4 separate regions of the Mus musculus genome follow, and regions 1, 3 and 4 are each reported to be linked to region 2. The links are microRNA targets in miRTarBase. Many come from high-throughput screens and were not tested one by one. Region 2 holds a microRNA gene; each other region holds the end of a gene's coding sequence.

Evidence for each region. The annotated mature microRNA mmu-miR-511-5p reads AUGCCUUUUGCUCUGCACUCA and lies in region 2 at 3,838-3,858, opposite strand. An mRNA with a match to its seed (bases 2 to 7 or 8) in the 3' UTR can be bound and repressed. Matches are read on the target gene's strand: a 7mer-m8 pairs with bases 2 to 8, a 7mer-A1 pairs with bases 2 to 7 and ends in A, and an 8mer does both.
Region 1: miRTarBase lists Zbtb8b as a target of mmu-miR-511-5p. Seed matches in the 3' UTR shown: 7mer-m8 at 4,257-4,263.
Region 3: the mRNA of Uvssa is a reported target of mmu-miR-511-5p. Seed matches in the 3' UTR shown: 7mer-A1 at 644-650 and 7mer-m8 at 2,601-2,607.
Region 4: miRTarBase lists Nrep as a target of mmu-miR-511-5p. Seed matches in the 3' UTR shown: 8mer at 3,941-3,948.

Annotation. Positions count from the first base shown.
Region 1 is chr4:129,421,873-129,430,089 of GRCm38, forward strand. Zbtb8b (zinc finger and BTB domain containing 8b) reads right to left here. Exons shown (of 4, transcript NM_153541.3): 3 at 6,556-6,734; 4 at 3,893-5,955. The coding sequence ends at 5,641. Among named protein-coding and RNA genes, the nearest start is that of Zbtb8b, 15 kb to the right of the region's middle.
Region 2 is chr2:14,256,654-14,264,870 of GRCm38, reverse strand. Mir511 (microRNA 511) reads right to left here and starts at 3,868; the gene lies at 3,790-3,868. Mrc1 (mannose receptor, C type 1) reads right to left here. Exons shown (of 30, transcript NM_008625.2): 5 at 7,754-7,867; 6 at 3,536-3,682.
Region 3 is chr5:33,414,706-33,422,351 of GRCm38, forward strand. Uvssa (UV stimulated scaffold protein A) reads left to right here. Exons shown (of 14, transcript NM_001081101.2): 14 at 93-5,049. The coding sequence ends at 186. Among named protein-coding and RNA genes, the nearest start is that of Nkx1-1, 16 kb to the right of the region's middle.
Region 4 is chr18:33,433,587-33,441,803 of GRCm38, forward strand. Nrep (neuronal regeneration related protein) reads right to left here. Exons shown (of 4, transcript NM_053078.4): 4 at 3,433-5,253. The coding sequence ends at 5,128. Among named protein-coding and RNA genes, the nearest start is that of Nrep, 26 kb to the right of the region's middle.

The sequences.
Region 1 (8,217 bases), not on the chromosome of region 2:
ACTTGGGAGGCAGAAGCAGGTGGATTTCTGTGTTCAAGGTCAGCCTGGTCTACAGAGTGAGTTCCAGGACAGCCAGGGCTATACAGAGAAACCCTGTCTCAAAAAGAACAAACAAACAAACAAAAAAAAAAAAAAAGAAAGGAAAAAAAAGAAAAGAATTAAGTGGGATATCTATTGTGCAATTACTTCATATATCATTAAATAAATAAAAATAATTTATTTGATCTTGGTATGATATGTTGATCTTTAGTTAACTTTTCTAGCTCTGTTCCCCTGACAACATGATAAGAGTCATACATTTACTATGTTGCTAGGCAACATTATATATGGTAGAAATTACCTCTAAATGGTAAACTACACCTTGGATGACAGAACTATATATACCTTAATGGAGCCACAGCTCTGAGATTTCCTGAGGACTGTGGCTTTTGAAACAGGCATGTCTTACTGAGGCCCTGGAAGCTATGTCTGAGGTTGTATAGATGACATAAAATCCAAGCCATATTCCATGCTTGTGAGATCTGTTTTGCATCTGAGCTATGCCGAGTGCTTCAGGGATCTCACAGGTGCATATTAACTGGTTCTGACCTGCTGCCAAGCTATGGGTCCCATTCAGGTGTCAGGCAGATATTTCATACCCATTCCACGTCTTCAAGGTGTGTAATTGAAATGGATGCCTCCCTGCAAAACCCCCAAGCTTGTTACTACCAACTGTCCACAAGAGCACATAATTCTCACCCTAACACCAGGGATCTCTCCCTCTCCCTCTCCCTCTCCCTCTCCCTCTCCCTCTCCCAATTCCTCTCTTGCATTCTTTCTATCTTTCCTTCCATCTGATACTAAGGATTGAACCAGGACCACTTGACATCAGAATAGTATCTTCCAAATGATCAGAAATCATGCTCAGAGTAATTTCTTCTTTTCCTCTTTCCTTCTGAGTCAGGGTTTTCCTATATAGTACTGGCTAGTTTAAACTGCCTATGTAGGTTTTTCCCCTAGGACCATGATCTAATCTCAGGTTCCTGGCCACTGGTCACTTTAGCAATTTCACGTATGGGTATGGGTTCCATTTCTTCGAGTGGTCCTTAAATCCTGTCAGAGTGGTTGGTTACTCCTGCAACATTTGTGCTACCTTGCATCAGTATACGTTGTCACTGTTGTAGGTTGCAGAGTTTGTAGCTGGGAGACACTGGTGATTTCCTTCTCTGGTAGCATGCAAGAGAACCTTCAAGTAGCATGAACTACAGAGATCTGCCTACCTCTGAATGCTGGGATTAAAGGCTGGTATGTTTAAGTGTATCAGGCATCAGAGTCATTTCTTAACTACAAATCATAAGTATCATTTACATTTCTTCTCAACCCTTGAGAAGAGCTGCCTCCTCCTTCAAAGGAACCAGCTTCATAACTATGCATTTTTGAGTCTCATCTCAAGTTTGTATCTTGGACCCATCCATGCACTATATCTTCTGAGACAAAAATATTTTTTGGTGAACTTAGACTGAATGTGCCAGAAAGATGAAATACTATAAACTCAATCATGTACGGTCAATGTTGTGCCCAATTGCAAATTTACTTATAAAAATGTCACCACAGACAGCCAGGGCCATACAAAGAAGCTCTGTCTTGCAAAAATAAAAAATAAAAAATAAATCACCATGGGCTGCAGGTTTGACCTGCTTAGCATGTGAGAGGCCCTAGTTTCAATCCCCAGAACCCACCCATAACATCCTTTAAACTATTAACACCGTGAGTTAAGCCTTGAAGATACTAGGATAATTACTGACCATCAAATGTGAAAGCCCATTTAAAAGGGGACCAGTCCATGATCTGACAGTCTACACCAAAGAAGTAGCTCTTTTTTAAAAATAACAGAATACAGCAACTCCGTTAGTATAATGTGCATTGACAAACTCCAAATAGTCACCTAGGAATGAGCAGTCTGAGACATCACGGGGTGTTAACACAAGACACACTCTGGGCTTCACAGCCGTCTTCCTCCCAAGATTCTGCTCGTGTAACAAAAATGGCCATGTCTGGTGGTTTATGTCAGCACCCAGGAGGCAGAGGCAAACAGGTCTCTCTGAGTTCGAGGTCAGCCTGGTTAATACTGAGTCCTGGCTGAGGTGAGTCAAACAGTGAGGCTCTTAAATCAATAAACAGAAACAAACAAGAAGAACCCAGAGTCAGGGGAGGATGACCCTGGGCATGTAAACCAGGGTCAGAGTCAGTTTCTTTCAAGCTTTCTCTTAGATCTTCATATCCTGGGTGTGAGTGTGTACATCTGAGAGTGCAGGTGACCACGGAGGTCAGAGGCATCAGCTATTCCTAGGGCTGCAGTTTCAAGCAGCTGGGATGCTGGGAACTGAACTTGGGTCCTCTGTGAGAGCAATAAGAGCTCTTAACCACCACACCATTATGAAGTAGAAATTTCTGGTTGTGTCATGTGATGCAGCCTCACGTGATATTTTGCTGAGGCAAGACCCAGGAGAGGACACATGATGTTTGGAGAGAATATAAATAGGACTCAATGGAGGAGACAAAGTGCTTGCACAGCTACACTCATGCAACAAACACTCCCTTGGCATTGCATCTTCACTAATCTTCCCTTTATTGAGAGAAAGATGGCATCCCAGCTGGTCCCGGTTGCTTCCAATGACTCCTGCCGATTCAGCAGAGGCCTGGCAGTTTCTGCTGGATTGTGCCACTTCTGACACTTTTGGACTGGTATCCTGACAATGGGAATTGGAATCACCCGAAAGAACTAGTTCTAAACAGGCACACATACCCTTGTCCTATCACCTTCTTTTCTCCCCTACCTTTGGTGGGCTAGAAGGGGAGGCGAAACGTTTGAGTACCCTTATTAAAATACCCTTATTAAAATAGGTTTTGAAAAACCTAAGCCTATACCATCTCTCTAGCTTTTCATTTTTATTATTTATTTATTCATTCATTCATTCATTCATTCATTCATTTCTACTTTATTTATTTATTTATTTATTCATTCATTCATTCATTTCTACTTCATTTATTTATTTATTTATTTATTTATTTATTTATTTATTTCAGACAGGCCCTCGCTGGCCTGGAACTTGTTATGTAAACCAGGCTGACTTCCAACTCACAGAGAGCCCCCTGCTTCTTTCTGCCTCTGGAGTGCTGAGCACAGCTGGACCTCCAGTTAAAGGTGTGCACCATCATCCCTGCCAATACAACTTCTTAAGTATCCCACCCTGGCCTTGAACTTGCTTTGTAGCTGAGACTGACCTTGAATTCCTGATCCTCTGCCCTCCTCTTCCCTAGTGCTGGGATTCCAGTTGTTTCCTACCATACCTGGTAGGATTTCTAAGTTTCTATGTCATAACACCTACACTAGGCATTGGGCAAACTGTGAAACATCTGGACTCAGAAGCAGAACCCAAAATTAACATCATTCAAAACCCCACTTTATATCTAGAATTTCTCAACCTTGGTACTATTGTTTTTATATCCCTGGCTGTCCTGGAACTCACTTTGTAGACCAGGCTGGCCTTGAACTCAGAGATCTGCCTGCCTCTGCCTCCCAAGTGCTGGGATTAATAAAGGCATATGTCACTTAGGCCTGTGTGGTATCAGTCTTTCTATGATGTGGCTGTCTAGGTAACTACACCTCAGATGGCCCATGCCTTGTTCAAGGAAACAAAGTCTAACAGAATGCGGGCATCACAGTAATGTAAAAGTGTCATCAGAGTCTCAGGTACAATTGTTAAAGTACAACTGAAATATCTTTCCATCCACGGGTGGGGACTAAGTCAGTAGAGAGTACTTGCCCAGCATGGACAAGGTCCAGGATATAACACCTACTACTATGAAAACTAAAAGATCTTTCTTTTCTTCCTTCCTTCCTTCCTTTCTTCCTTTCTTTCTTTTTTATAAAGTTGACAATTTTAAAATAATTTATTTTATTGTATTTTATGTGCATTGGTGTGAGGGTGTCAGATCCCCAGAACTGGAGTTAGAGACAATTGTGAGCTGCCATGTGGGTGCTGGGAATTGAACCAAGGTCCTCTGGAAGAGCAGCCAATGATCTTAACCATTGAGCCACCTCTCCAACCCTCATGCCGTCTTTCTTCCTTTAAAAAAAAAAAAAAGGCTTTTTTTTTCTTGCAGACAACACAAATTTAGGTATTTGTTTATTGCAGTACTAGAGATTGGACCCAGGGACTTCCTAATGACAGACAAGGAGCTGTAACCCTAGTCCTGCCAGGGGAGGTGGCGCATGCCTTTAATCCCAGCCCTTGGGAGGCAGAGGCAGTCAGAACTTCAGGAGTTCAAGGCCAGCCTGGTCTACATAAGCAGGTTCCACAGCAACCAAGGCCCCCCCCAGAGAAACCCTGTCTCAAAATACAAGCAAACCAACAAAAGCTTCCACTCTTTAATGACAAGACAATACATACAAGGCAGTTTATAAATGATTCTCACTAGGTATTGTTCAAGAGGCAGAGAGACCTGGTGATTTCACTGCTGTTTGAAACTGTGTTAAAAGTAAAGGAAGACAAGGGATTTCTTTTAAAGTCCACTTCAGATGCTTTTAAGAAAAGTCTGCAAGCTACCTTCTAGTGCACCATTCATCCATGGTCTTTCCTGTCCTTTCATACTTTAGAGACACTCGACTTGCTTTGCTACAGTTGTGACCTGGCTGCAGAGTGGGTGAAAAGCAGACCGGCTTGAAACCTGTTCTACCCAGCTCCTTCCTTCTAGGTGGTCTTCTAAAACCTGAATGTTAGTTAGGCATGCATGTCTCCCCTGCAGTTCAAGTCTGGGCATAAACTAGGTGGCAGGATGTCAGGCGGGACATGCATGCCCAGGAATGTCACGAGGGTGTGCATATCCAGGTTGCATGTCTGGGAAATGACTAAGCAGCCTTTTGATTTTTGCCCAAACGACTTGCTTTATAATCTGAGAATAGGGGATTTGTGTGTACGGAATTGTCAAATAGCAGAGTAGACGGGGACAGTACTCTGCCCTGGCTCACTGGCTCTTCTCTGGGGGCTCATTTAACTTAACTCAATCTAGGTGGGCAAGCAGCGGGCCCAGAATAAACTTGCAATTTGTGTCAGTGTTTGTCTGCATAAAGCTTCCTCCAGCCTTTAGGCATATAGTCTTAGATTTAGGGAGTACCTTTTATGACCACGTAGTTAGCCCCGCCTGCTTTTTATCGAAGCAGATTCCCAGAAAATTAAATGTGGAGTTCATTTCAAGAAGCCTGGCAGGGGAGAGACAGAGGTTCTGACAACATACTCTTGCCACCTCTTCAGAAGACTGTAATGATGTAAGAACGTAAAAGACCAGCATAGTGCTAAGCTGGGAGGTTTTCTTATTTATCTCCGGCCCAGAGTCAGCTTCTCAGCAGGAAAATTAGGAAGTCTCGGGGCTCAATCTCAATTCAGTCAGTACCAAGGAGACGTCAACAAAACTCTCAAGACTCCATGCTAAAACGTCATCAGTCTTTTTGAGTCACAACATCCAGCCTTCGTCTAACAAAAAAATCCAAGTGTAACGACACTGTGGGGAGATGATCCCCAAGTCTCACAGAACTCGACAAATGGTAGCTTTCACAGTAGAACAAGCCACAACACTTAAAACCTTCCCACCGAGTCACTGCTACGTAAGTGTCTCTGGGGCTGGTAAGTTGGGCCGAATGTGTGGCTTGTCGTCAGAATCCTCCGCGGTTGGGTCATTCTCCTCACCAGACTCTATGTAGATGGGCCAGTCATCTGTGTCACTCTTCTCGTGGCTTTCAGATGAAGCCTCCACCAGGCTAAGGTTGACAGGCATCAGGTCGTCCTCTTCCTCCTGGGGGTCTGTGACACAGGTGCAACTGTCACACAGCCCGAAGCGCCGCAGTCCTTGGGACAGGTGGCTCGTAAAGGTTCGTCGACAGCCTTTGCAGATAATTGGACGGCTGGATCTGTGGACCTGCCAGCACAAGGGGACACCGTAAAGGTCAAAGAAAAGGCTGGAGAGGTGACTTAGCAGCTAGCAGTACTTGCTGTGCAAACGGAGGCAAGTTACTCTCCTGCCTCAGGGTATCAGTTCTGGTGGGAAACTGGGGATACAGCTTACTCTACGTCCTTACCAGGGGAAGAAACTCACAGTCTGCTGGCCCTGCCAATTCTGGCCTCATGACGGCCATCCTTGAACAAAAGCTAGGCTTCTTGGAAAACTGGCCTGTTCGCACACCGGCATTAACTTTTTTCTTTTTTCTTTTTTTTTTCCGAGACAGGATTTCTCTGTATAGCCCTGGCTGTCCTGGAACTCACTCTGTAGACCAGGCTGGCCTCAAACTCAGAAATCCTCCTGCCTCTGCCTCTGGAGTACTGGGATTAAAGGTGTGCGCCACCACACCTGGCTAGCATTAACTTTCTAAGTGCCGCCAGCTTGGCTTTAACCTGGTAAGAGAAAACTTCACAAACTTCTCTTAAAAAAAAATCTCTAGATGAGAGAGCAGTGACAGACAGTCCCACCCTCACACTAGGAGACAGGCACAGCCCTTACAGCGACGTCCCTGACACTCACGCTCAGGGCGTGACTCCGAAGGTGCTCCTGCCGGGTGAACCTCTTGCCACAGGTCTCGCAGGGGTACGGCCGTTCGCCAGTGTGGGAGCGGATGTGCCGTTTGAGGATGCCTTTCTGCTTGGCGGTGTAAGGGCAGAAGGGACACCTGTGCAGCTTGATAGGAACCACCAGCACGTCACCTGAGGAAGCCAACAGACGCCATTAGCCCATTAGCCGTCAACAGGGACAACAACCACAGCCACCTTTCGGGGTGGGACTGGGAAACACCCTCATCCCAGACAGAGAGGGAGACTACCAACTCCACCTGCTAGCAAGCTGCAAGACTGACCAGTGCAAGTCCCACTTTGGCTTCTAAAAGATCAAAGGTCAAGTCAACTAAGTGGGCTTTCCCGCTCCCTTCCCCTGCTTAGACACTGAACCCAGGGCCTTGACTGTGATACCCAAATGCTCTTTCACTAAGGCCCATCCCCACCCACCCACCCAGCTTAGCTTCTGGTCATGAGTATCAGGCTTTAGTAGCTGGGACATCTCTCCAGCCCATGAGAGGTTTTTGCTATTAAGATTTTTGTTCATTTAATTTTTATTCATGTAAATGGGTAGGTCTGTGTATTAATGCCAGGTGTTTATGGATACCCATGGGGGCCAGAAGGTGTCTCCTTGGAGCTGAAGTTATGAGACACCTGACATAAATGTTCCAGGACCAAATTTGGGTCCTCTGGAAGAAAAGCCAGAGCTCTTAACCTCTGAGCCATCTCTCCAGCCCCATGTTCTGTGAGTTTTACAAACATTTTGTAATATACCCAAATTATTTTTGTCTTCCCTGTACACGGCTCCCCTGTAACACCTGGCGTGATTCATCCTGGTGTGAGCTGTAAACAGCCAGTCAACATTCTGTGTTATAAAGACCAATCTATATGCAACTGAAACGATATAGAGGGTCTCACTTGGGAATACTAGGAAACCAACCCAGACACACTTATCATAGAAACATACCAGCCTTCAACGTCTTGTACCTACAGGCCCATCACTAAAGCCAATAACAGCAATGGGGCTTTATCCCAAACTTGGGGCTACAGTGATGTGTTGGTTTGAATGAGAAATGTTTGCCATGGGCTCATGTATTTGAGCCCTCGGTCTCCAGTTGGTTGTACTATTTGGACACAGTGCCTAGCGATCCAAGATTCTTTAAATATAAGTAGTTTATTTGGGAATAGACGGAGAGATAGGTGGGAGTCCGAGCGTCATAAGGCATAGTAAACTTGTGTGTGCTCTAGGAGGGTTATATTTTAAACACAATGAACTTTGTAACTCTAAAAGAAACCTAAAGTTTCACTGAAAGACTCAGAAACACTGGTTTTCTAGAACTGGCTCTGAAGTCGGTAGACCACCAATATGGGCCAGGTCCAGAGGCCAGACACCTGCTCAAATGCCAGGACCTCTAAGATCAGGAGAGATACTTCCAAAACTAAGGGGGCCATCTAAACTACCAAGACTGTGTCCAACATGTTGAGGCACCCCTCCAATTTCTAGGAACCCATGCAAACTATCTGGCCCACCTCCCAAACTGGGAACTTATATAGTCTCAGACCAGGAAAGCCACTATTAGAAAGTGGCCTTCCTTTATCTTACAGTCAGCAAGGTATGCTCTTCCCATTGGGCCCA
Region 2 (8,217 bases):
GGCCCAGGAGGTGGCACTATTAGGAGGTGTGGCCTTGTTGGAATAGGTGTGTCACTGTGGGTGTGAACTTTAAGAGCCTCATCCTAGCTGCTTGGAAGTCAGTCTTCCACTAGGAGTCTTCAGCTGAAGATGTAGAATTCTCAGCTCCTCCTGCACCATGGCTGCCAGGATGCTGCCATGCTCCCACCTTGATGATAATGGACTGAATCTCTGAACCTATAAGCTAGCCCCAATTAAATGTTGTCCTTATAAGAGTTGCCTTGGTCATGGTGTCTCTTCACAACAGTAAAACCCTAACTAAGACAAGCCACATACTTTTTTTTAAAAACGAGAACCCATATTAACCCATATTAAAATATAATATATCACTGTGTTCTGGATGAGGAAAAAACAAGACACAAAAGCCACATAAAAATCATTATTTAAATAAAAAATAAATCGGTGTTAAACATCCTCCTTGTTGCTATGAGAAGTTGTGGTCAAATGTTACCTTGATTAGATGTTGCAAAAACTTTAATAGTAACGAACTATGGGGAGTTAAAATGAAAGTCTCTGAAGGGAGAGATACTCTCTTCTTCCCAGGATGTCCTTGAATCTGGCATGGGCCCTGACACACAATAAATGCACTGAGTGTTGGTTAGAAAAGAGAATGGTGCTATATCCAACACATAGTGGCTTCCTTTTGCTGCTTTACAAATACCATTTTACATAAACTATGCTATTGGCTTAGTTTATATATTTAAGTGATCACAAATGTGCTGCTTCACTTAATGCCTGATACTGGTCCCTTTGGTCACCTTCTCATGTGGGTGGGCAGAAAGGTAAGACAGGGTCTCAGGGAGTAGCCTAGTAAGGATGGCCTTGAACTCATGTTTTTCCTGCTTCAGACTCTCAGCTGCTGAGATGACAGGTGCACATTCTCACAGCTGGCTCTTTGTCCTTGAATCCCATTTCTCCTTAAGAGCAAAGATTGCCTAAGGCCTCTTTGTGCAGAGGCAATTTTTTTTTTTTTTTGCCTCTTTGTGCAGAGGCAAAAGTTCTAATTTGCATCATCCTAAGCTGAAGTGTTGTAAAACAAAATTTCATTCCTTAGTACAATTTCAATTCTTAATACTTTCATGAGTTGCCAAAAAAAATTGGAAGGAAGGAAGGAAGGAAGGGAGGGAGGGAGGGAGGGAGGGAGGGGGGGAGAGAAAAGAGAAGAGGGAAGGGGAGGAGTGGAGAGGAAAAGAGTAGAAAGGAGAAGAGGAGAGAGGAGGAGAGGTGAGAGGAGGGGAGGGAAAAGGAGAGGTGGGGAGAAGAGGAAAGAAGAGAGGAAGGGAGTTGGGATGAGATGGGAAGAGGGGGTGGAGGGAGGAGGAGAGGATGGGAGGAGAGGGGAAGAGAGGGAAGGGGAGAAGAGGAAAGAAGAGAGTGGAGGGGAGGTAAGGGAAGGGAAGGAGAGAAACAGAAAGGTTAGCATAGTCTAGATCCCTTCTGTGGGATGTTTAATTTTTCTTTCTAGGAAACTGATGAGCCTGAGAAGCATTTAAAAACACATCTTCTGTGGCTCTAGCCCTGTGGCAGAATGCTTGTCATCTGCTGTGGCTCTAGCCCTGTGGCAGAATGTTTGTCTATCATGCACGAGGTCCTATGATCAATGCCCAGCAGAGGAAAACACAAAGTATGAAAACAGAAAATAACCAACACAAATGAAACAAAGGGAGAGGCTTGGGACACAAAAGCACAAAAGATTCTTTGTTTTTGAAGGGGACCATCACTGTCCACAGTGTAGCTAGCAATGTAAGCCACAGGCATCATTTTAGATTTGCTACTAGCTGTAGTAGATAGAAAAAAAGTACATTCGGTATATCCAAACTATTATCATTTTGATACGTGATCAACTAAAACAAGATTTTCCATTTATTCCCATGCTAAAGTTTTGGAAATCCAACATGTATTTTACATGGGCAGCAAATCTCAGTTCACACTAGACATGTTTCATTCAACCAAAGACCTATGGTTAGTAGCCACAAAGATGCATATTATGGCTCTGGAGCTGGGGGAACTACGGACACACAGGGACTATGGCAAGGACTGAAGGGTACAAGACTGGATGCTTGCCAAGAGGGGCCACCAACCGGGAATGCAGCAACTTTTTAACAGGTGCAGGGGCTCCAAGAAGGGGAGCTGGAACTTATTCTGCAGACTAGCCCAGCCTTGAACTCAGAGATTCGCATGTCTCTGCCTCCTACATGCTAGGATTAAAGGTGTGTGCCATCGCACTGGAAAAAATGCTACAAATTTAAATCTCTACTTAGAGGGGTTTGTCTGCACAGCAGAATAATCTTGTCAGGATAACAATGCAAAGGCCAATGCTAGTGTAGCTGCACAAGTGAATCAGGGGCAATAGTGGATTTAACAATACAAGCTTGATGATATAACGAGATTTTAAAGAAGAAGAGTTACTAACATTCATATTTTACAAACAAGGAACTTAAAACTGGTGGATTAAGCAATAAGGCCAAATTATAGAATTGTGCCTTTCATTCCAGAGAAACTTAAAAATAACTTTTCTCTAGTTCCCCAAAGTGGTAACTGCTGCAGGTCTCTGAAAGAGAACTATATGAATTCTTTCAAGAAAGACTTAGCCATTCCTTTTGCAATAGTAATAGAAGAGACAAGTTGCAAGAACAATTGAGGTCTCCACAAGTTCATGCACAATCACTCTAGAAAATCTGTAAAGTAGAACTGAGACCATGAACCAGGGGCCTCCACCCATAGCCATAAGAATTCATAAACCAGGGCTCTCTATCATGTCCATCAGAGATTATGAACCAGGGATCTAATTTACATCCATCATGGATAATGTACCAAAGTCCCCATACACATCTACCAGTGATCACTAAATAAAGTCTTTCCCTCCAGATATTTACTTCCTAGTCTTAATTCCAGTTTTGTTGGGTATACAGAGACTATATATCCTATGAATTTCTCTTTCCTTTCCTATAACATGTAATAGGAGAAATAATACCTACTTTACAAGACTGGAGATATAAAATTCTTTTTTTTTATTATTAGATATCTTCTTTATTTACATTTCAAATGCTATCCCGAAAGTTCCCTATACCCTCCCCCTGCCCTGCTCCCCTACCCACCCACTCCCACTTCTTGGCCCTGGCGTTCCCCTGTACTGGGGCATATAGAGTTTGCAAGACCTAGGGGCCTCTCTTTCCACTGATGGCCGACTAGGCCATCTTCTGCTACATATGCAGCTAGAGACATGAGCTCCGGGGGGGTACTGGTTAGTTCATATTGTTGTTCCACCTATAGGGTTGCAGACCCCTTCAGCTCCTTGGGTACTTTCTTTAGCTCCTACACTGGGGGCCCTATGTTCCATCCTATATGTTCAGGAAACATTACCAGACAGTAGGACCAAAGAAATGGACTTTTGAAGACATATCATGTTATTAATCTGTAAATAATTAATAATCTCTCTAGAATCATGTCATTCAGTTTTGATTGAGTACACATTAGATCATAGAGATCCTCTTACCTGAGGGAATGATAAATGGGTTCAAGGTATTGTTTCCCTTTTTACAAATGTAGCCAAGCTTCTGAACACATTCCAGATTTTCCCACTTGGCATTTTTTCCAGGGTTTAGTGACACACAGCTCTTTCCAGGCTCTGATGATGGACTTCCTTTAAGCAAATTACAAAGTTAAATTGGGAATACCACAGTCTCCTAAGTGGATGGCTTCCATCCTCTGCCAACCACCACACCTTACGTCGTCATCCTTGGGATTTAATGGATCCCCATCCTGTCTTTTGCTACACATTCACAAATTATTATTTACTGAGTGCAGAGCAAAAGGCATGGTGGGTATCTATTTGGTTACTTGTTGCTGGCTTATTCCAAGGCTTAAAATGTTGAGTTCACAGCAGAGTGGTTTGAAATAACCACCTAGAACAATGGATAGCATTAGACCTTAAACTTTAAACAACTGTGATGATATATGATATCATGTATCTATATATGGTATCATATATAGAATGGCTGAATAAAAATAATGTACACTGTCCCAAGATGGCTATATTAATGTCAATAGTAACGCTCAAAACTACTTGAAGCTAACTGAAGAGAAGAAAATGCAAGGGATAAACACAGTGAAACAGATCTGGAAACCAATGTCCTACACTCCCAGAACTAAGATTCTTAGCACATTTTGTTGGATTCATTGAAGAAAAACCTTTGGAGCTATCTCCTCATTCATTTCTTACAGGAAGCTGGTTAAAAATACCTGACTGGGTTGACACCTTTGGATATATGACCCTATCACTACAGTCTATCAATACATCCTCCTACTACAGTGGATACATACATCTATCACTATATCCTCCAATGTATGATTTGTCTACTGCAATGCATACATGCATCCATCTACATCCTCTAATGTATCATTTGTCTACTATAATGGATACATGAATCCATCCCTATATCCTCTGATGTGTCATTTATTTACTGCTATAGATACATGTGTCCATCCCTACATTCTCAGATGAGTCATTTGTCTACTACAAGGGTAACCAATCCCTACAGTCTCTGATTTATCATTTCAACCCCAGTTTCCCAGAAAGTAACTTCATCTCATACCTAAGTCTGACAAATTAGCTACACACACAGCTAATTTGTGACCTTTGGTGGATGTTCATTATGCACCAAAATTTCACTTTCCTCAGAAAAAGGAAATCATGTCACCAGCCCTTGGAAGTCTTTAACACAAACATTTTCCAGGTTGTATAAATACTACACAAAGTAAAAACCCCCAAAATACATATAAAGATGTTTTTTTTTAATCTTCTGATAATATGGCCAAGATTCTGTATCATTGTGGAAAAAAACTTTCAAGAAACAATATCACATTTAATACATACTGGTCTTAAATACTGTGCTCTTTGGTAAATCATATTATATATTCATTTATCAATACAACACCTCTACCGACCTTGAGATAGCAGTTGGAGGTCTTTACTAATCTGGTGACTATTATATAGTTGAATTTATATTTCTTCATCATTCACATAAAGTATTCTTGATTGCACTCCATATGTGTTTTAGAACATGAATCACTTAGTAAACGTTTAATGAAACAATCAACTAAGTAATTTATACAAAAATAGTTTAAATATTCTTATTTTAATTTCATAAAATTCTCACATTATTTAAGAAGGTTAGTGTTGAATCTATTTTCTGGAAACATGTAAGGCATTTTCCATTCCTATTACACCTTTTCTAAAGTTAATACCCAGGGTTTTTTTCAGTGAGATCTAAGACCACAAGGGGTTGTACCCAAGTGAATAATAGAGAAAATGAACTATTTTATGACGTGGAGTACTTTTAACTACTAAAGACAAGAATGGACTGTAGTCCCCTACCATATAATCACCACTGTCTGAAGCTTCTGAGTCCCGCTGCAATTCTCTAACCTCCCTTGAGCCCAAGAGCAGCAGACAATATCATCTTATGAAGAAAGGGCATCTATATTCATATGCACTTTCAGTTACTTCCCATATTTCAGAAGAAAATAAAACAGATTATCATTTCAAGACTCAAGTCATGGGGCTGGAGATAGCTCCGAAGTAGATTAACCGGTCATGATTTCTAGTACAAAACAATTCACATAACAGCCCTATGCTCATCAGGCAGTGAGCGAACATGTTGAGTGGAATTTCATGGTGAAATATAATCAGTACCAACATATATTTTTTTGCAACACTGTTCACTGGGCCCAAAATTTTGTGCATGCCAAATGAGTGCTCTTTCCCTGAGATTTCTGAAGCCTAATTAACTTAAATAAACACATAACCCTAAATGTTGAGTCTCTAAAATTCTCTCCCTTGTTTAAACACTTTTTAAAATACTATTTTATCTTTTTCATCTTAAAAGTAAAAGTCAAGGTATGAAACAGAAAACTTAACATATTTAAGCCAAATGCTTTTTTTTAAGGTATTTAATGGCTCAAAAAGGAAGGGGGGGAGGGAGGGAGGGAGGGAGGGAGGGAGGGAGGGAGGGAGGGAGGGAGGGAGGAAAAGAATTGTGAAAAAAAAGGCATGGCTTGCATATTTGTGGTTGGTCCCAATACTCAGAAGGCAGAAGCATAAGGATCACTTGCTTGAGATAATCTGGCCAATGAAGGAAACTAGGTTGAGAGTGGGGTTATAGGGAGAAGAGGAGGAAGGGAAAGGGGAGGAGGGAAGGGGGAAACCTCAGCTTTTTAAATACAGTCTCAATAGTGTCTGCAGCAAAGCTGATAAAACATGACTAATACACACTTATTTCCTGCTCCATGGCAGGAATCACTAATCATTAACTGTACTCTTCTGCAATAAGCCAGGCTTGGTAGTGTGCTATAGTTAGAGAGACTAGAATCACACTTAATACCACTTGAGTATTAACAACTCATCCTACTACTCAACAGATGAAAACATTTCAGAACTGATCTTTATGTTTCTCTGAAGAATTGCTTAATATGTACAACTTATATACAGCCATCTGTCTCCTTTTGTGTTCTGTCATCTTGTATGGTGGAACAACATGGAAGTGATAACAAAGAAAGAACAAAACAACACACACACACAACATGAAAGTATGACAAAATGGGAATGCCTTTTCTAACTTCCAGATAATTAGAAGAAGAGTATTCTCTGACTCTCTCTTTTATGATCAAACTGTATATTGTCAATAAAATTGTTAATAAATGTTTATCCTAGCATAGAATTTTATAATTTGTGGTTGAGACAGTATTTTAATTCAACTCTATTATATTATAAACAACCATAACAGTATTACCATAGGCTTTAAGATTACAGTAATATTAAAAATATCTCATGACCTAAGACAATATTCACCACCTAACACAAATTCACCACCAACACAGAATATTCATTTCTCTTAAACTTATAATGTGTATTTATAGATATTACTAGATATGAACATATGTGCAAAGTCAGGCCTCAAGACACAGGACTGAAAATCCCAGCTACTCAGGAGGCTGAGGAGGAAGGCTCCCAAGTTCAAGGTCTTCCTGAAGTAGAGAAAATTCAAGGCCAGTCTATGTAATAACTGTCAAATTAAAAGTATATAGAGGGCTGAGGACATAGCTCAGTGGTTGTCTAACATGCACAAGGCCCTAGGTTCTGTCCTTAGTATCCACCCAAGTGTGTTAGATTATTGATGCGTATATAGCATTGCATATATAAGAAATATTTATGTATCTTACCTATAAACACATTTTAACTGAATTTTTAAAATTCAGGTAGGACAAGAGAATCCCAAAATTTTGGGAGAACAATAGTCATACAAAAAGTAGAACACTTAAACTTTACAATAGTTGTTTCAAGGACAATGGCAAAGTTAAAACAACGCAAAATACATATTAGTACTAATTCTATTATCTTTAATCATACTTAAAAATAGCTATAAAATATGCTTTTGAATGTAAAACCTTCATAAACTACTTAGAGAGTGTAGACATCAAACAGAATGAGTATTGACTGTCGCGATTATCCTGGGAAACAAGTCCTTATCCCAGGAAGCTGGCCCTGTGTAAACTTGTACTTTAGAATAATCAAATCCAGGTTGCAGATTCCAAAGCATGATGGAAAATGAGCTATGTTCCATTAAGACTTTTTGAAACCAATATGTAACATGAGGAAGACCTTTAAGATATCTCAGTGAATTCCACTCAGCCAGTAATACTCAGGCATGCTTACCTGGTAGCCAGTTCAGATACCGGAATGGGCTTCCTCCAGCCCACTGCCAACCACTGCGTACACTCAGACTGTTGAGTCCAATCCAGAGTCCCGAGCTCAAGGAACTGGTTAATCCTATAGGGCAAAAACAACACAAGCACAGAACAGGCATTGAGAAATGACAGTGAAATTAAATCCAGAATTAAATGTGTTAATCCGAGTTGTCAAAGAAGGTGCTGGAAAGATAGCTGAGTAGTTGAGAGCACACACTGCTCTTACAGAGGACCCTAGTTAGGTTACTAGCACCCATATTGGGAGGCTCACAACCATCTCTAACTCCTGCTCCAAGGGATCCAAGGCCTTCTGCCCTCTAAACGAACTTGCATATACATACATACATGCATGCACACATGCACACACACACACACATACATACATACACACAGAGAGGCAATAAAAAATAAAATCTGTTTCTTAAATGTGAG
Region 3 (7,646 bases), not on the chromosome of region 2:
TGAGGTCCAGAAGCAGCAAGCCAAACTAGGACTCCAGAGTCCTGTCAAGTCTGTCAAGTCCTGTCACTTCTTACTGTGCTCTCTCTCCATAGGGCAGCCGTGCAGAGAGTAGTTGCTGCCATGAACCAGATGGACCAGAAGAAACACGAGAAGTTTGCAAACCAATTTAATTATGCGCTGAAGTAAAAGGGTGTGGGTGTGCTGAATATGCTGTGGTCCCCTTTGGCCGTCAGCTCTTCTCCGTTCGTTAGCTTACTAGGATAGGAAGGAGAATAGACTTAAGTCTGAGTAGAATCAGAGCTTGTTTTTTCTGTATGTAACAATGTAGTGATGCATTAAAATACTCTCCAGGAGGCCAGGGGATATGGTTTAGTGGTGAGGCCAGGGTTTGATTCCCAACCATTTTAACCACACATGTGGTACCTCACCTGTAATCCCAGCACTTGGACATAAACAGGACCTGAATCCTAGGCCAGTATGGATAACAGAGCAAGACTGCTTGAGAAACAAGAACAAAAAGCCAGATGAGGTGACGCACACCTGTAATTTTTACACTTAACAGGCAGGGCAGGAAGATCAATACAAGTTCAAAGCTAACCTAGTTGCCAGGCATGGTAGGCACATCTTTAATCCCAGCACTCAGAAGGCAAGGCAGGTGGATCTCTGAGTTTGAGGCCAGGCTGTTCTACAGAGTGAGTTCCAGGACAGCCAGGGCTACACAGAGAAACCCTGTCTTTAAAACAAACAAACAGCTAAGCTAGTCTAAGTTGTAAATTCTAAGCCAGCCAAACTTACATAAGCAGAGTATGTCTCTGAGGGAAAAAAATATCCCTTCAGGATGACGTACCTGCATTGGAGTTGGATAGGGGCAGGCACTCCATCTGGCCAGCCCTTGGGCAGTAAGTGTGTCCCTAGTGGTGCTATGTACTTTATGATGCCTTCAGCAATCCACCCTTTCATGCATATGCTGTTTAATACACATGTCCAGCTCCTGGCACCACTCTGGACCAGGTGTGTTGAGCCCTAACTCACATACCATGTAGTCACCCAGGTTATGCACAGTGTATAACAAGTGACTCCACTGGCTTCCAGAACTTTAGTGTTCAGACAAACTGCCTGACCACCTCGAAGCCCGCTTTCTCTTTCCATGCCTATGCATTTAGAGTAATTGGGTCTGCGGCTTTTGTTTTTGTTTTGAGATGTGGTCTCTTTATGTAGCTCTGGCAGTCTTAGAGCCCACAGTGTAGACCAGGCTGGTCTCCAACTCAGAGATCCTCCTGCCTCTGCCTCTTCAGTATTGAGATTAAGGGCGTGTACGATGGCTCCTGGCTGAGTATGCCCTTCTGTTCCAGCTTCTTTGCCTTTGAAGTTTCTTCCATGTTGTGATAGCAGTCCTTCAGTCCTGCTTCTTACACACACGGACCTCAGCAGAGGACAAGGGAGGTGGCTCAGCAGGTAAAGCACTTGCATGTAATTATGAGGACTGAGTCCATATAAAAGTCAAGTGGTTATGGTAATCTGCTTGTAATCCTGCCCTTGGTGAGAGGAGACAGGATCTCTGGGGCAAACTCAGTAAGGAGACTAGCCAAAATCAGTGCATTCTGGATTCAGCAAGAGACTCCGCCTCTGTAAATAGAGTGGAGAACAGTGAAGGGAAACACTCAACTACAACCTTTGGCCTATAATATGAAAATTCACATATGCCCATAGACATCTGCCCACACATAGGTAAACACACACACACACAAAATCACAGTGAATGGAGTCATATTTTGTCATTGCCACACCCACCCTCTCATTTGAGACATGGTCTCTCTTTGGAACCCTGACTGTCCGGTAACTCATTTTGTAGATCACGCTGGCCTCCAATTCAGAGATCCTCCTGCTTCTGCCTCCCAAGCCCCGGGACTAAAGGCGCCACCATGGCCTGTCTCCATGGATTTGTTATTGATGTTTGGTCTGTTCCTACCTTAGGGCTACCGTGAATATCTGTGCTTTTTTGTGTGTGGACAACTGTTTCTGTACATCACCGATGCGTATAGTAACCTCCTTGTGAGGGGCTAAGCTGTTGGATGGTGGCTGCACCATTTACACTCACTCTGCTCTGCTTCCTGAGGGCTTCATGCCATCACTGGTGTCTTTGTTTCTTTTGCTTTTCTGAGAATTCTATACAAGAGGACTGTGCTCACATCATTTCCACCTCTCCTGCCTTCTCCAGGTTCTCCCATGCCCTTTTTTCAAATTCATGATCTCTTCTTTGTCATCACATATGAAGACAGTTGCTGTTATCTTTAGCAGTCATTCTCACCGTCATGTTCTGGGAGGCAGCTAAGGGCAACAACATTCACCTATGTCATTTTGATAGTCTCTTAACTCCCTGGCCACAACTTAGGAGATTTCCTGTTCGTATACATGGACTTTTGTTAAATAGTGTCTACTTAAGGATTTTTTTAAAATCACATGATTATCTCAATAGATGCAGAAAACACCTTTGACAAAATCCAATATAATAAAATAATAAAAGTCCTAGAGAGACTAGGAACAGGGAACATGTAAAGGAAACCCATCAAAACAACAGCTGATTCCCAGTGGAAGTTGTAAAAGGCAGAAGAGTCTGGACCAGGGTACTTCAAGGTCTAAAAGACCATGGATACCAACTTACAGTACTGTACCCAGCATAACTTCCTGCCATAGTTGAAGGAAAGAGGAAAATGCTCTGTGGTATAAACACGCCAAAAGAATTCATGCCCACCAAACTGGTCCTAGAGAGGATACCAAAAGCAATTCTTTAGACTGAAGAGAGGAAAAAGGACAAGGAAGACAAGTGAAGCTGTAATTGCTGAAGCACAAAAGAGGATGAATGCAAAGAGCAAACCAGGAGCCAGCACACACCTTAAACCAGAACCAGGAGCCAGCACACACCTTAAACCAGAACCAGGAGCCAGCACACACCTTTAACCAGAACAAGGTTTTAATAATATCCTTAGCTCCCCAGTCAAGAAACACTGGTTTGTTGAATGGATTGAGAACAAAGATTTAAAGATCGGGGCCACCTTAAAGCACAAGGATAGAAAAAAGTATCCCAAGCAAGTGCAAAGAGGAAGGAAGCAGGTGTCACTCACTACCTTTTTTTTTTTTTTTTTTTTTTTTGAGACTGTGTCTTCCTACTCAGTCCTAGCCTGCTATATAAACCAGGTGGGCCTTGAACTCACAAAGATCTGCCTGCTTCTTCCTTCCAAATGGTGGAATTAAGGACAAGGAGTCTTTGTTTTAATCAAGAGAACAATTGACCATGAATACATTACAGTTCTGTATGCACCAAGCTCTAGAACACCCAATTTCATAAGAAACATGCCACTGAACTTAAAGACACAGATTACTCCAGTTCCGTATTAGTGGGTGATTTCTGTACCCCACTTTATCCAGAATACAGGCCATCTGAACAGCAACAACAAAAAAGAATAGAGATATCAGATTTAAGTGATGTCATACAGCAAATGGAGCTAACAAATATGTACAAAATGTTTGACCCAAACACTAAAGAATATACATTCTACACAGCAGGCCAAATACCCAAAATAGATCATATTGGCCAGGAGGTGGTAGTCCATACCTTTAATTCAAGCACTCAGGAGACAGGGGCAAGCAAATCTTGAGTTTGAGATCAGAGTGGTCTACAGAATGGGTTCTAAGATAGCCAAGGATACCCAGAAAAACCCTGTCTCAAAAAATGAAAATAATAAACTAGATCACATAATTTGACACAAAACATATCTTAAGTTCAGAAAATTGAAAAATTTTAATATATTTTATCAAGCCACAATGCAATAAAGCTTCAAATCAATAGCAAACAAATTCCTGGTAATTATATAAATTCATGAAGATTGAACAACACATTACTAAATAGTGAATGGGTCAAAAAAGAATCAAGAAAAAATGTTTTAATCCTGAAGTCAAATACAACTAAAAACAACAAAACCTCTGGATACATAGAATGGCAACCTATGAGGCACTAACTACCTTATTAAAAATCAGAAAAAGCACAAATAAATGACTTAATGATGTAATTCAATGATTTGTAAAAACAGGAACAAGTCTAAATTGAGTAGAGTGGAATACCTAGTAAAAACAACATAAATTAATGAAATTGGAAGAAAAAAAATATCAATGAATCTAAGAGCTGGTTCTTTGACAAGCCATTGGCAGATTCTAGCTATCCAGCTAACCAAAATCAAAATAAACAAAAATAAAGACGTGATTCAAAGGAATAGAATTCAAGTTGAACTGGAACCATCATGGCACCAATGAAATCCAGTCCTGTAGAGGAGTACTTTAAAAACCTAGTCTCCATTAAGTTAGAAACTAGAAGAAGTGCACAAGGCACGCATGTGGTGCACACACATGCAAGCAAAACATTCATGAATTTTAATTTAAAAAAGGAATGGATGGATTTCTAGAGTAATCCAAACTACCAAAGTTTAAGAAAGTGACAACCTAAACAGACCTATAACATTATACCACCAGTGCCTCCTAAGCAGACCTGTCACAAGGAAGGAGATTGGAACAGTAAAAAAAAAAAAAAAAAAACCCAGGCCCAGATAGATTCACAGGAAAATTCCACCAGATTTTCACAGACCTACAGCCAATACTAAAAAATAAACAAAAAACCAGAAGGAACATTTTTAATGCCAAAAACCATGTAGGCAACAACAACAATATCTCTGATATAGGCAAATATCTCTGATGGACATAGATGCAAAAATCTAATAAAACACTGCAAGCCGAGTATAGCCATATTAGTTCACCCAAGAAAGGACTGGATGTAGGTGACGAACACTTGAGTCATGAAAGAAGACAGTTAACTCTTCTTTCTAGTTTTACCTCTTTTGTGTGTGTGGTTAAGTGCATAAAACAATATTTGATGGTGAAAGTGGAATCCAGTGTGAAGCTCCACAGCTTTCATTGAGATGGATAAACTTTGGGTCTGGTTAATTTCACTGTATGATGTTTTTTATAAGTTTTTTTGTAATAAAACTTTTCCTTTTGTTATTGCTGCTGTTGTTATTTTGAGACAGGTTTTCTCTGTGTAGCCCTGGCTGTCCTTGAACTCACTGTAGACCAGGCTGGCCCCAAACTCAGCGATCTGCTTTCCTGACTCCTAAGTGCTCAGAATCAAGGCCTGCACCACCACCCAAATGGCTTTGTAATGAAATATTAATAATAAAAAGATTTATTATGATTATAATAAAAGATATATATGACAAGCCCACAACTAAGATCATCCTAGATGAAAAGTATGAAGAAATCCCACATTTCGAGCTGTATTACAAAGATAGAGCAATGAAAATAGTCTTGTACTGGCACAAAAGCAGATGTGCGTCCATGGAACAAAACAGACTCAAACATGAGTGCACATGACTACAGCCAGCTAATATCAAACAGAGGTCCCAAAAATACACACTAGAGAAAGGACAGCATCTTCAGCAGACAAGGACTGGAAAACTGGACGCCCACATGAACAAGAATGAAATTAGACCCATGTCCATCCCCATGCACAAAAATGAGCTCCAAATGGATCAAGACCTCAGTACGAAACCTGAAACTTTGAGATGGCTGAAGAAAGCATAGTCCACATCCTCCAGGTTAGAGCTGTAGGGAACTCTCTGGATAGGGCTCCCTTTGCTCAGGAATTAAGACCAACAATTTATGAATAGGATCTTATAAAACCACAAAGCTTCTGTACTGCAAAGGAAACCAAAAATAAGCTCACAGGGTGAGATAAGACCTTATCTGGTAGACAATTAATATCCAGGATATACAGAAAAACCAAAATAACCTACTTTAAAGAGTTATGTAGATCTAGACTTTCTCAGAAAAAAAAATGGTTTTAAAAAGTATTCAGTATCTTTAGCAATGAGGGAAGTTCACACCCAGAGCACTGGACTCAGCTCCCAAGTCGTGAAGGCTAGGGCCGTCGTTTCCTCCTTTTATCCTATTTTTGTTTGGTTTCCCAGACAAGGGCTCACTGTGCAGCTGTAGTTCTGACTGATCTAGAACTTGCTGGGTAGTCTAGGGTGGCCTCGAGCCCAGCATAGACCCACCTGTCTGTATCGCTGGCAGTGTATGAAATGTGTACGTCACCGTCCTTGGCTCCTTAGGAAAAAGTGTGTATGGGTGTGGGTTTTTTAAAAAAAGAATTTCAAAAAAATTATGTGTATGGGTGTTTTGCCTGCACATATGTGTCTAAACCATGTTTCTATCCTGGTACCTACAGAGGCCAGAAGAGAGGAGTCAAATGGCCTGGAACTGGAGTTACAGTTGGTAGCTGCTTTGTATGTGCTGGGAATTGAACCTGAGACCTCGGGAACTATCTTTCTAGACTCTCATCTTGTTACTTTTTTTCTTTCTTTTTTTTTTAATATTAACAATCTTAGTGGAAAGTATTACTTTATGGTTTTGATTTTCATTTTTCTAGTGACTAATGGTAGTGTTTGTGTTTATTAGCCACTTATATGTGTTCAAATAACTTCTCATTTTCAATTAGTTGTCTTGTAAGAGGTTTTATATATGTTCTAAACACTGCATCCTTAAATGAATTGGAGATGTTTTCTCGTCTTTTCACCTTGATAGTGCCCTTCAAAGTTGTTAATCTTTTAAAATTACAGTGTTTGTGTGTGTGTGTGTGTGTGCGCGCGCACGCGCGTGCGCGTGTGCCTGTGCGTGCTCATTTAAGGAAGTCAGAAGATGGCCTTCAAGAATCTATTTGCTCTTTCCACCGTACAGGTCCTAGGATTGAACTCAAATGGGAAGGCTTAACAGCAAGTGCCTTTGCTCACTGAGCCATCTCACTGGCCCCAAAGGTTTTCATTTTAGTAAAGTTCATTTATATTTTTATTTTGTTTCTTGTGCTATTGATATAATTTCTAATGTATACACTAATTATATACATATAAACACACATATTGCTTAACTTCAAGGCACACTGATTTACTCATAGGTTTTTTTTTTTGAAATTTTTGTTTTTGTTGTATTTTTTTGAAATAGAGTCTCTATGCAGTCCTAACTGCCTTGGAACTCACTCTGTAGACCAGGCTAGCCTCCAGCTAACAGAGATCCACCTGCCTCTGCTTTCCAAGTGCTATGAGTGTGCCACTACAGTCAGCTTTCTTCTGAGAATTGTATACTTTTAGCTCTGACATGTACAGCTTTGATCCATTTTTAATTAATTGTGCTGTGAGGTAACGTCGGCTTCGTTGTTTGCATTTGGGACTTTCATTGTCCTTGACTCTTTTAATTGTTAGCCACTGGGAGCCTTGACCACTGTCATACTAGGGTTTGCCATAACTGTGGCGAAGCTTGGGGAGGGAAGGGTTTATTTGGCTTACCCTTCCAGATCACAGTTCATCATCAAAGGAAGTCAGGACAAGGACTCAATTCAAGCAGGACAGGAGGAACCTGAAGGCAGGTTAGGATTCATGAACTTCTGATAGCATTCTAGTTAATTGAGCTGTCGTTTATTTTTAGTATTTTACAGTTTTTTATAGGTCGCTTATATTAAAAAATGTATTCCTACATGCTTTAATGCTTTTATAAATGTGACGGTTCTCAGAATTCTGTATTTAGATTATTTATTGCTAACTTACAGA
Region 4 (8,217 bases), not on the chromosome of region 2:
GGTTCGTGGCTACTCCCTATACCCACAGGATTAGCAGTGCAAGCCACCTTTCCTGGATGAAGCAGGGAGCAAGAACAGGGGTGGTAAGGGTCATAGGAGGAAGGAGGCACCCGTCATCTGAAGATAGAGTCTGCTATTTAACTCCACTCTCCTAGTGTACAGTTTCCATTTTCCCACCCACACATTCATGTGGAGTGCTTCCATCTTTGTAAGCCCTGGTAACTAATCACCATTCTTAAAACCACACTGTAAACAAACTAAAGAGGTCAATAGGGTCTATCTGGTCCTTAGTTGTTGGTTGCCCATCTGCACCCCAATACAATATGGTAATACTTTTTTGTTTCTGGTGAGAGAACAAAGTCTTTAATCAAAAACTGAGGCTCCTGTTTGACTCCAACTAGCCTTCAGATTCATCCGGCCTTCAAATGCTCAACTTTGCCACAGCAGGTATTAACCATTAACAGGCCCATGGCTGCTCCTGGCATGATTTCCGTGAGTTTATAGTGGAGTGCAGGGTCAATCACCCATCATTTTCACCTTTATGGAAACTGAATGAGCCGTCCTCAGTAACCCCTGTGGAACACCACCGATTTTTCTCAGAACTGTAAATATCATGTATTCCAACCTCTGTTTTTACAACTGCCAGTAATTGTTGCTTGCAGGGCTAAGAGCACTTTAGTTAGTAAATGAAAGCCCTGATGCTCTGGGTTTGTTCTAGAACCTTCTTCAGAGCCATGCTCTGTGGGGCTCCGGGAACTGTGACTTAAAAGAAGCATCTGCTATTCCAGGTTTCAGTTATTCTTATAATTTATCCCTTAGCCTACAACAAACCCTGAGTTCTTTTACTAAATAGAGACTGATATATTATTTCAAAATCATGTCTCCAAATTCTTTAGTTTTCCCCACTTCAAGAACTAAAACTTGCTTTTCTACCTTGTAGAGTATGTCATAAGGCTATATTTAGTAGCTGGTTTACCTGAACAGAATATGATAGTAGTTGGTTTGGGGATTTTTGTTTGTTGGCTAGCTTGCTTTCTTTTCTAGTTCCCTTCTTGTTCTTTTCTGGTCTCACACTATAGAGGAAGGATGGCCTAGAACTCACTATGCAAAATGTGCTGGCCTCAAACTGATGGCAACCCTTTAGCCTTAGACTCCTTCGTTTCTGTGATTATAGGTGTAAGCCACCATTCCAGCACAACGGTGAGGTTTGAGACTAGATCATATGTACCTGGGCTTGTTCCTAGATATGTACACACACACACACACACACACACACACACACACACACACATATTTTAGATAAAAGCCAAGATTTGGTGGATTTGAGGCAAGCTACTCTACCAACTGAATTATATTCCCAAGCCTCTCTTGATATATTCTTTAGGAAGGCAGAAGTTATGGGGACATCTCAGTTCTGCAGAGAGACCAATGAACAGAGGGGCTGAGGTGCCCAGCCAACATCCAAGGATGTGGGCACAGCTTTCTAACCCCAGCAAGAATATCAGATGGCTCTAGGCCTGTTTGACATCTTGGCTGCAAAGGCGTATAATAACCACCAGCCGCACTACTCCAGAATTCCTGACCCATAGAACCTGTGGGATAAGAAAAAATATGTTTTCAATATGTAAAACGTGGTTTCAATCTCTTTAGGAGCAATTGATAATTAAGATGGATGGAAATAAAATAACAGAGAAATGCCACCGATTGTCCCATCTCATGATCTTTTCATAATTTAGCAAGTCTTAATTTAGTAAGGCAATAAAACAGAGTGTATCCCCCATACCCATTATGCCCCTCCAAGCAGAGTGTATCCCCCATATCCGTGATGCCCCTCCAAGCAGAGTGTATCCCCCATAGCTGTTACAATCCTCCAAGCAGAGTGTATCCCCCATAGCTGTTACACTCCTCCAAGCAGAGTGTATCCCCCATAGCTGTTACACTCCTCCAAGCAGAGTGTATCCCCCATACCCGTGATGCTCCTCCAAGCAGTGTGTATCTCCCATATCTGTAATGCCCCTCCAAGTAGAGTGTATCCCCCATAGCTGCAATGTCTCTCCAAGCAAAGGGAGGTTGTTGAGTGAGGAAAATTAGGATTCCTCATAAGTAAAAAGATAATCAAATAATAGGAGACCTTCCCATGTATTCAGAGGCATTAATCTCTGGGTGTGTATACAGGTGCCAGTATCTCACCTGGAATGTGCATTAATTTTGAATTAAACTCAACATCCTCCCAATTTATAAGATACCTCTTGACATGCACAATTAGGAATGAGGATCTTCCAGAAAGCAAGAAAGCATCTTCTGTCCCCCATATTGAGGAGGACACACTCCCAGAGTGTGGCTGGTAAGCTTCTCTGTTCTACCCCACCCCTAACTCACTCTCTCTCTCTCTCTCTCTCTCTCTCTCTCTCTCTCTCTGGCTTTTATTTCAGAATTATGTTCTTTACCCTCTGGTGAGGTGTCTCAGTGTTTATACTCCACCAGCTGATTTTGAAACTCTTGCATAAGTCAAGGTGACGTTTCAGTCCCACGATGGCTGAATGAGGAATGCAGCAGGAGTTTCTCAACAGTCAAGACGTCAGTCAAACATTCAATGCCGAGGCCGCAGCTGGAGAGCCATGCCCACGCCCTTGGCTGTTGGCTGAGAACCTCAGATCCTCTAGTCATAGGTCTCTGTTCAGAACTGAGATGTACTCACACACCTGCCCTTCCTAAAGAATATATCAAAGAGGGTTTGACCATAAAATTCAGTTATAGAGTAGCTCGCCTTGCATGTGTCAATCATAGATTCTATCTACAGCAGCGCATGGGTCTATCTACATGGAGCATGGGTCCCCAAATTCCAGTTTTCAGAGTCACTTGAGACTTCCAAAAGGCTTTGATGATGGCAATTCATCACCCACAGGGGTCTGGGTGACTGCATGCCTGCACACCAATGGCTTCAACGCCTATCTCAGAATTGGATCCTCTTACAAATGTGAGTCTTTTGTCTGTGTGGAGGTGCCAACCTTTCCCAGAGTGGGTCTTGCTGGTAAGGGAGTGTGAGAACATGCATCTTGAGGTATGTGAGAATGTGCGTCTTGCGGTGTATGAGAACGTGCGTCTCGAGGTGTGTGGGAATGTGCGTCTCGAGGTGAGTGGGAACGTGCGTCTCGAGGTGAGTGGGAATGCCCTAAGGAGAAGTGGAGGATTTGCATTTACCTCTCCTTTGTGACCAGGGCAATGCTGTTAACACCATCTTAATGAGCCCCTACCTCTCCCTTAATCTCTTAAAGCCCTCAAGAGAGAAAATTTTCAAAAGGCAAATCTGCTTCACCCTTCTGACACTTGGCCTGTCTGACCTGAGGGATCCTGGGAACACAAAACGTGGTATGAATCGACAGAGGTGTTAAAAAAGACCGACCGACCCTACAATAATGAGCCAAAGCACAGTTACCTTATAGCTTGCATATTTATTGAACAAATCCTACTAAAATAGCTAAAATACATTGGGTACTTATGAGAGGACCACGTTACAAAAGCCTGCATTTTCGGCAGCGCACACTGCAATTCTACATAATGCCACAAATGCACAATACCGTTTCCTTGCTTTATTTACATAGCTGATATACCTACCCTAACAGAGGTGGGGGTAGCGAGAATGCACAAGAAACTCAAGCCAGAGGGGAAGCGAGAGAAAGAGTGAAGAGGGACAGTGCATGCATCATTGGTGTTTAACAGTCAGAAGCGCAAACAGTTCAGAACAAGGCCTGCCCTGTCAAAGGAAGAGCCAAAGACGTTATATAAAAATTAAGGTGGGCTTTCAGTCTGGCTAACACAACAACATTCTGTGAGGAGATGGCATTGTCAGATTTTATTTTTGTTTATCCATTTCATTGGGAGCAAGGACAAAAATGTAAAATCTACACCTTGCTTATCAAAACCACCCCAAAAAGGTATTTTGCCTTTCACCACCATCACCATCATCACCACCACCACCAACAACAACAACAACATCGTCATCACTATCATAGTCATCACCTTCATCATCACTATTTTGTAAAGACATTTTTCCAATTTCAACTTTGGGAAAGGGATAATTTTCAAATTCCTACTCAAATGCCAGCACTTTGGATTTTTTTTCCCACATGGCACTTATTAAAAGAGTGGACTTTTATCCCCCCTCCCCCAATATCTAGTCAAACAAAAAGAATCCAAAGAGATAACCTCAGAACGCCTGGAAAAAAATTATTGCTTTTCTTTTTCTAAGTCAGGCAGGTGAGGCTGCAGAAAGGAAGAGATCTGGTAGGTCAATTACAGTTTTGTGATTGCTCCCGCTACCGTGACTGCACATCCACCAGGGCCAGTCACGAGAGGACAGCCTCTCACACTCTTGGTAGCATCCACTCAACCTACAACCCTGAAGAAGAAAGCCACACTCAAGACACAAGGGAAACAAGTCAGTCCAGTCTAGAGAAGAACATTCCAGGAAACAAAGTACCGACACCTTCTTAGAACATGGAAATAAAAACAACTCCACCAGAGCTACCTCGCCAAGGAGCATGTTGAAAGTCCAAAATAGCACCATTCATCAGTGTCTCAGGCCCTGTGGCAGCGTCTCAGTCACTTACCACAAGGAAACAATGAGTTTCAAACTACTTCTATACATCAAAAGAGTACATGGGTAAAATATAGATATACAGACAATTGATGAACATAAACTACTAGGCTTGTTACATCTAAATGAAGAAAAAAAAAAACCGTGGGGGGGACTCTCAGCCTCTGCAAGAAGCAGTCGGGAGCTGTCTGATGAAAGGCAGGAGTGGACCAGTCATCTGAGCGCAGTAGGAGTTTTGAGTTGTGGAAGACATTGTTGTAGCGAACCAGGCCTGAAGGCCCACCTGTAGGGGTTGTAAACGTGGATTCACAGTGTGAAATTCTGAGCGTTTTCACTTGAGTCAGAATGATTAAAAACTGGTTTGATGAAACCTATTTGTCCACTGTAAATTCTCTAAAGCCAGGCTTAGAGTCCCATAGTTTCTTCTTATAGTTGATGATTTACACAGAAAAAAAAAAAATCCCATATATGATACCAAGACCTCATCAAAACCCCATACACCATATGCAATACAAATGGAGGTGGGACGATTAAAAAGGGTGGAGGTAACTGGTAGCTGGAGAGGTGAATTCACGGCTGCCTGGCGGAGTCAGCGAGGCAGCGCCAGTCTCCTCCATCTTCTTTCGGTTCACTTCCTTAGGCACGGGAAGTCTTCCCTGCAGGAGAAGACAGACAAACAGACACACACACAAACATATACTTAGTCACACTTTTAAAACCATCTTTAACGGTTTTTGCTTCTCTACCGCTTTCTTGTCCTGGAACTTTTTCTATTGTGCAAACAGTTTATATATTAACAGTATTCTCCTGAACGTAAAGACTTATTTTATGTGTATGAGTGTCTGCCTGCATGCCCATGTGTGTACAACATGTGGGCCTGGTGTTCATGGAGCACAGAAGAGGGCATTGGATCCCTGGATCCAGATGGCTGTGAACCACCATGTGAGTGCTAGGAGCTGAACCCAGGTCCTCTGCAAGAATAGACAGTGTTCTTAACCTTAACCACTGAGCCATCTCTCTAAACCCATATAAGTATGTGTGTGTATGTATTTTTAATTTCAATGGGTGATGTGATGGAGGGTTGACAGTATATTTTCTATTACACAATAAGAATACTTTAAAATATAGCACAATACTTAAATCTTTTCAATGTAAGCCTTACTCTAAAAGCAATTAGCACACTTCATCCAAGTGCTGACAGTCAGGACTAAAACGGTACCCAAGATGGAAGTGTTTGAGAGATACACGGTATAAAAGGATCTCAGATAGCAGCTACAGGAAAGAGGAGGAGAGTGAGAAACCACATTCAGAGGCTCCCGAGACTCTGTAAGTCCCTCCTTCCTCAGCGGATGGCTGACTATAACGATGAGCCTGACAGGAGATAAGCATGCTGTGCTGCTCCTGCTGGCACACACGAGGCTGGCAGCGAGGTGCAGCCTCCCTCAGAACCCAGCAGCAAGAAGGCAGGCAGGTCAGTGGGGCCCTCTGACCAACTGACATGCACGTCTTAATTCATTAAAAGCGGAAGAAAGATTGCATGTCCCATTCACACACACACAGTGAAGACAAAGCTCTCTCTAAATCAAGCCATTGATTTTTGGTATTTTCTTTGTTGTTTTTGAGTATTTACGTTCCGGTCGATGGAGTTGACTATATGGAAGTACTTGGTTACTAGATGAAAATACTGTGCAGTTGTGAAAACCATGTCGGTCTTGAAATTTTAGTATCCAGTACACAAAATAAAGTAAAAATTAAATTAAAAAAAATCTACTGGTATTTTTCAAGTTATGTTCCCCCCACCCCTCCACCAATCTGACCAGTTAGTGTGGCTCCAAACTTAGCATACTGATGTGTGTTGGTTTTTGAGACTCAGTCCCACTATCTCTTGACATCCAGGAAAAAACACACTACAAAAAAACAAAAACAAACTCTGGAATATTTCCGATCTGAACTTAGCTCTTCTATTTTTATTTAATTCATTGTCTTCCTCCTGTAGTCCCAAACACTCACACACTACAGCACTCCTTATTGTTCAGTACTCCTCTATGCCTGCACACGCTGCTGGCATTTAAGTCTACAGAGAGAAGCAGAAACAAAAATAGTCCCTACCCAACCTGCCTTTAACTATCATCTATGGGAGGTACCAAAGTAACGGACAACAGACCATGCCAGTAGGTCATGCAGAGATATGCTATTGAAAGACCCTGAGGGCCAAAAAACTGAACCCCCTTCAATGAGACAAACTCCCAGAGAGATATGGCTCTCTGCACCTCCTTATTGGAGCCCAAATTTACTAGATCACAATCTTCGTCCCTGACGCTTACTGTTTGGTTTTAAAGAACTGTTTGTCTCTAATACACTTCCTGTCCTCAGAAGTGTGGCTCTACAGTCATTGAGGAGACGCAGTTACCATTCTCCACCACCGACAGGTAATGATCCTTGTGCGACAGAGACCTGAGTAATCTAGAAACCTGAGGATGGGTGGCAAGCCGAGGTACTTGTGGCCCCAGCAAGCCTGCTCTGCCAGAAGCCACATCCAGATGGATACTGCTGATGACTGCTAGTCCAGCCCGTTGCTAAGTAATGTGCTTTGGACTAAGTTATCTGAGATTATCTTTCATGCAAGTATGCAAAGTTATGCTTTTCCAGAAGTTTCCTTTCGGAAAAAGGACAATTATATTATGTTTAAAAGACTACTTCATGTTTAGAGAAGATATAACAAGATGGCTGTGTCCACCATGGAGCATGCTATAGTGTAGGCAAGAAATGCAGGGAAGGACTGCTGTCTTCACACCTCACTGAGGAACCTCATCTGGGCTCGCCCACCTGCTTGATATTGCCAGTATGGAGGAGGGCTGTGGGGAGGCCTGACTTAGGTATGAATTAACTACACTGTTTCTTCTCACCCTCAGCTACCTCAGGAGAATTATGCCCTAGTTTTGCTCAGAAAAGAATATCTAGGGACAAAAATACACATGTATGTGTATAAATAATTGTAAGGGGTGAGGCATGTCGCCCAAGGCAGAATATGTGCCTAGCATGCATTCTATCTCTGGAACCATCAAAGTAATAATGTAATAATAAATAATAGTAGTAATAATAATAATAATACAGAGAAGGAGGAAGAGGAAAAGGAGGCAGAGGGGTGAGTTGGTGATAAAGGGTTACAGTGTTTCTCAGCTGTGTGCTGGTGCTGGAATTGTGGGCTGTGGTTGAGTATCTACCCCAGTTCTTTTCCACCCCAGCTCTATACAACTAGCACAGACTACGCTCCATCAGGTCCCACAGAATTTTCATCCATCTGCATCTCTGCCAAAAGTTTCAACTTGACCTTCAGAAATTCTCTGGAAAACTTAAAAAAAAAAAAAGTACTTAGGCTTGTTTTCTTTCCATGCGAACTGGCAGAGGACAGGACTACAATTTCTGAAAATTCTGTCAATAACGGGAATTCTGTCATTTAGTGTTAATAAGGTCTTCTCCTACAGGAAAATGGCAGCAATGCTATACCTGGGTAGTACCACTGTCCAATGACATAAGACTTTAAAATATTATTATTTTCTGTGCACGGATGGTTTGCTTACATGTGTGTATTGGAACTACAAGCATGCAGTGCCAGGAGG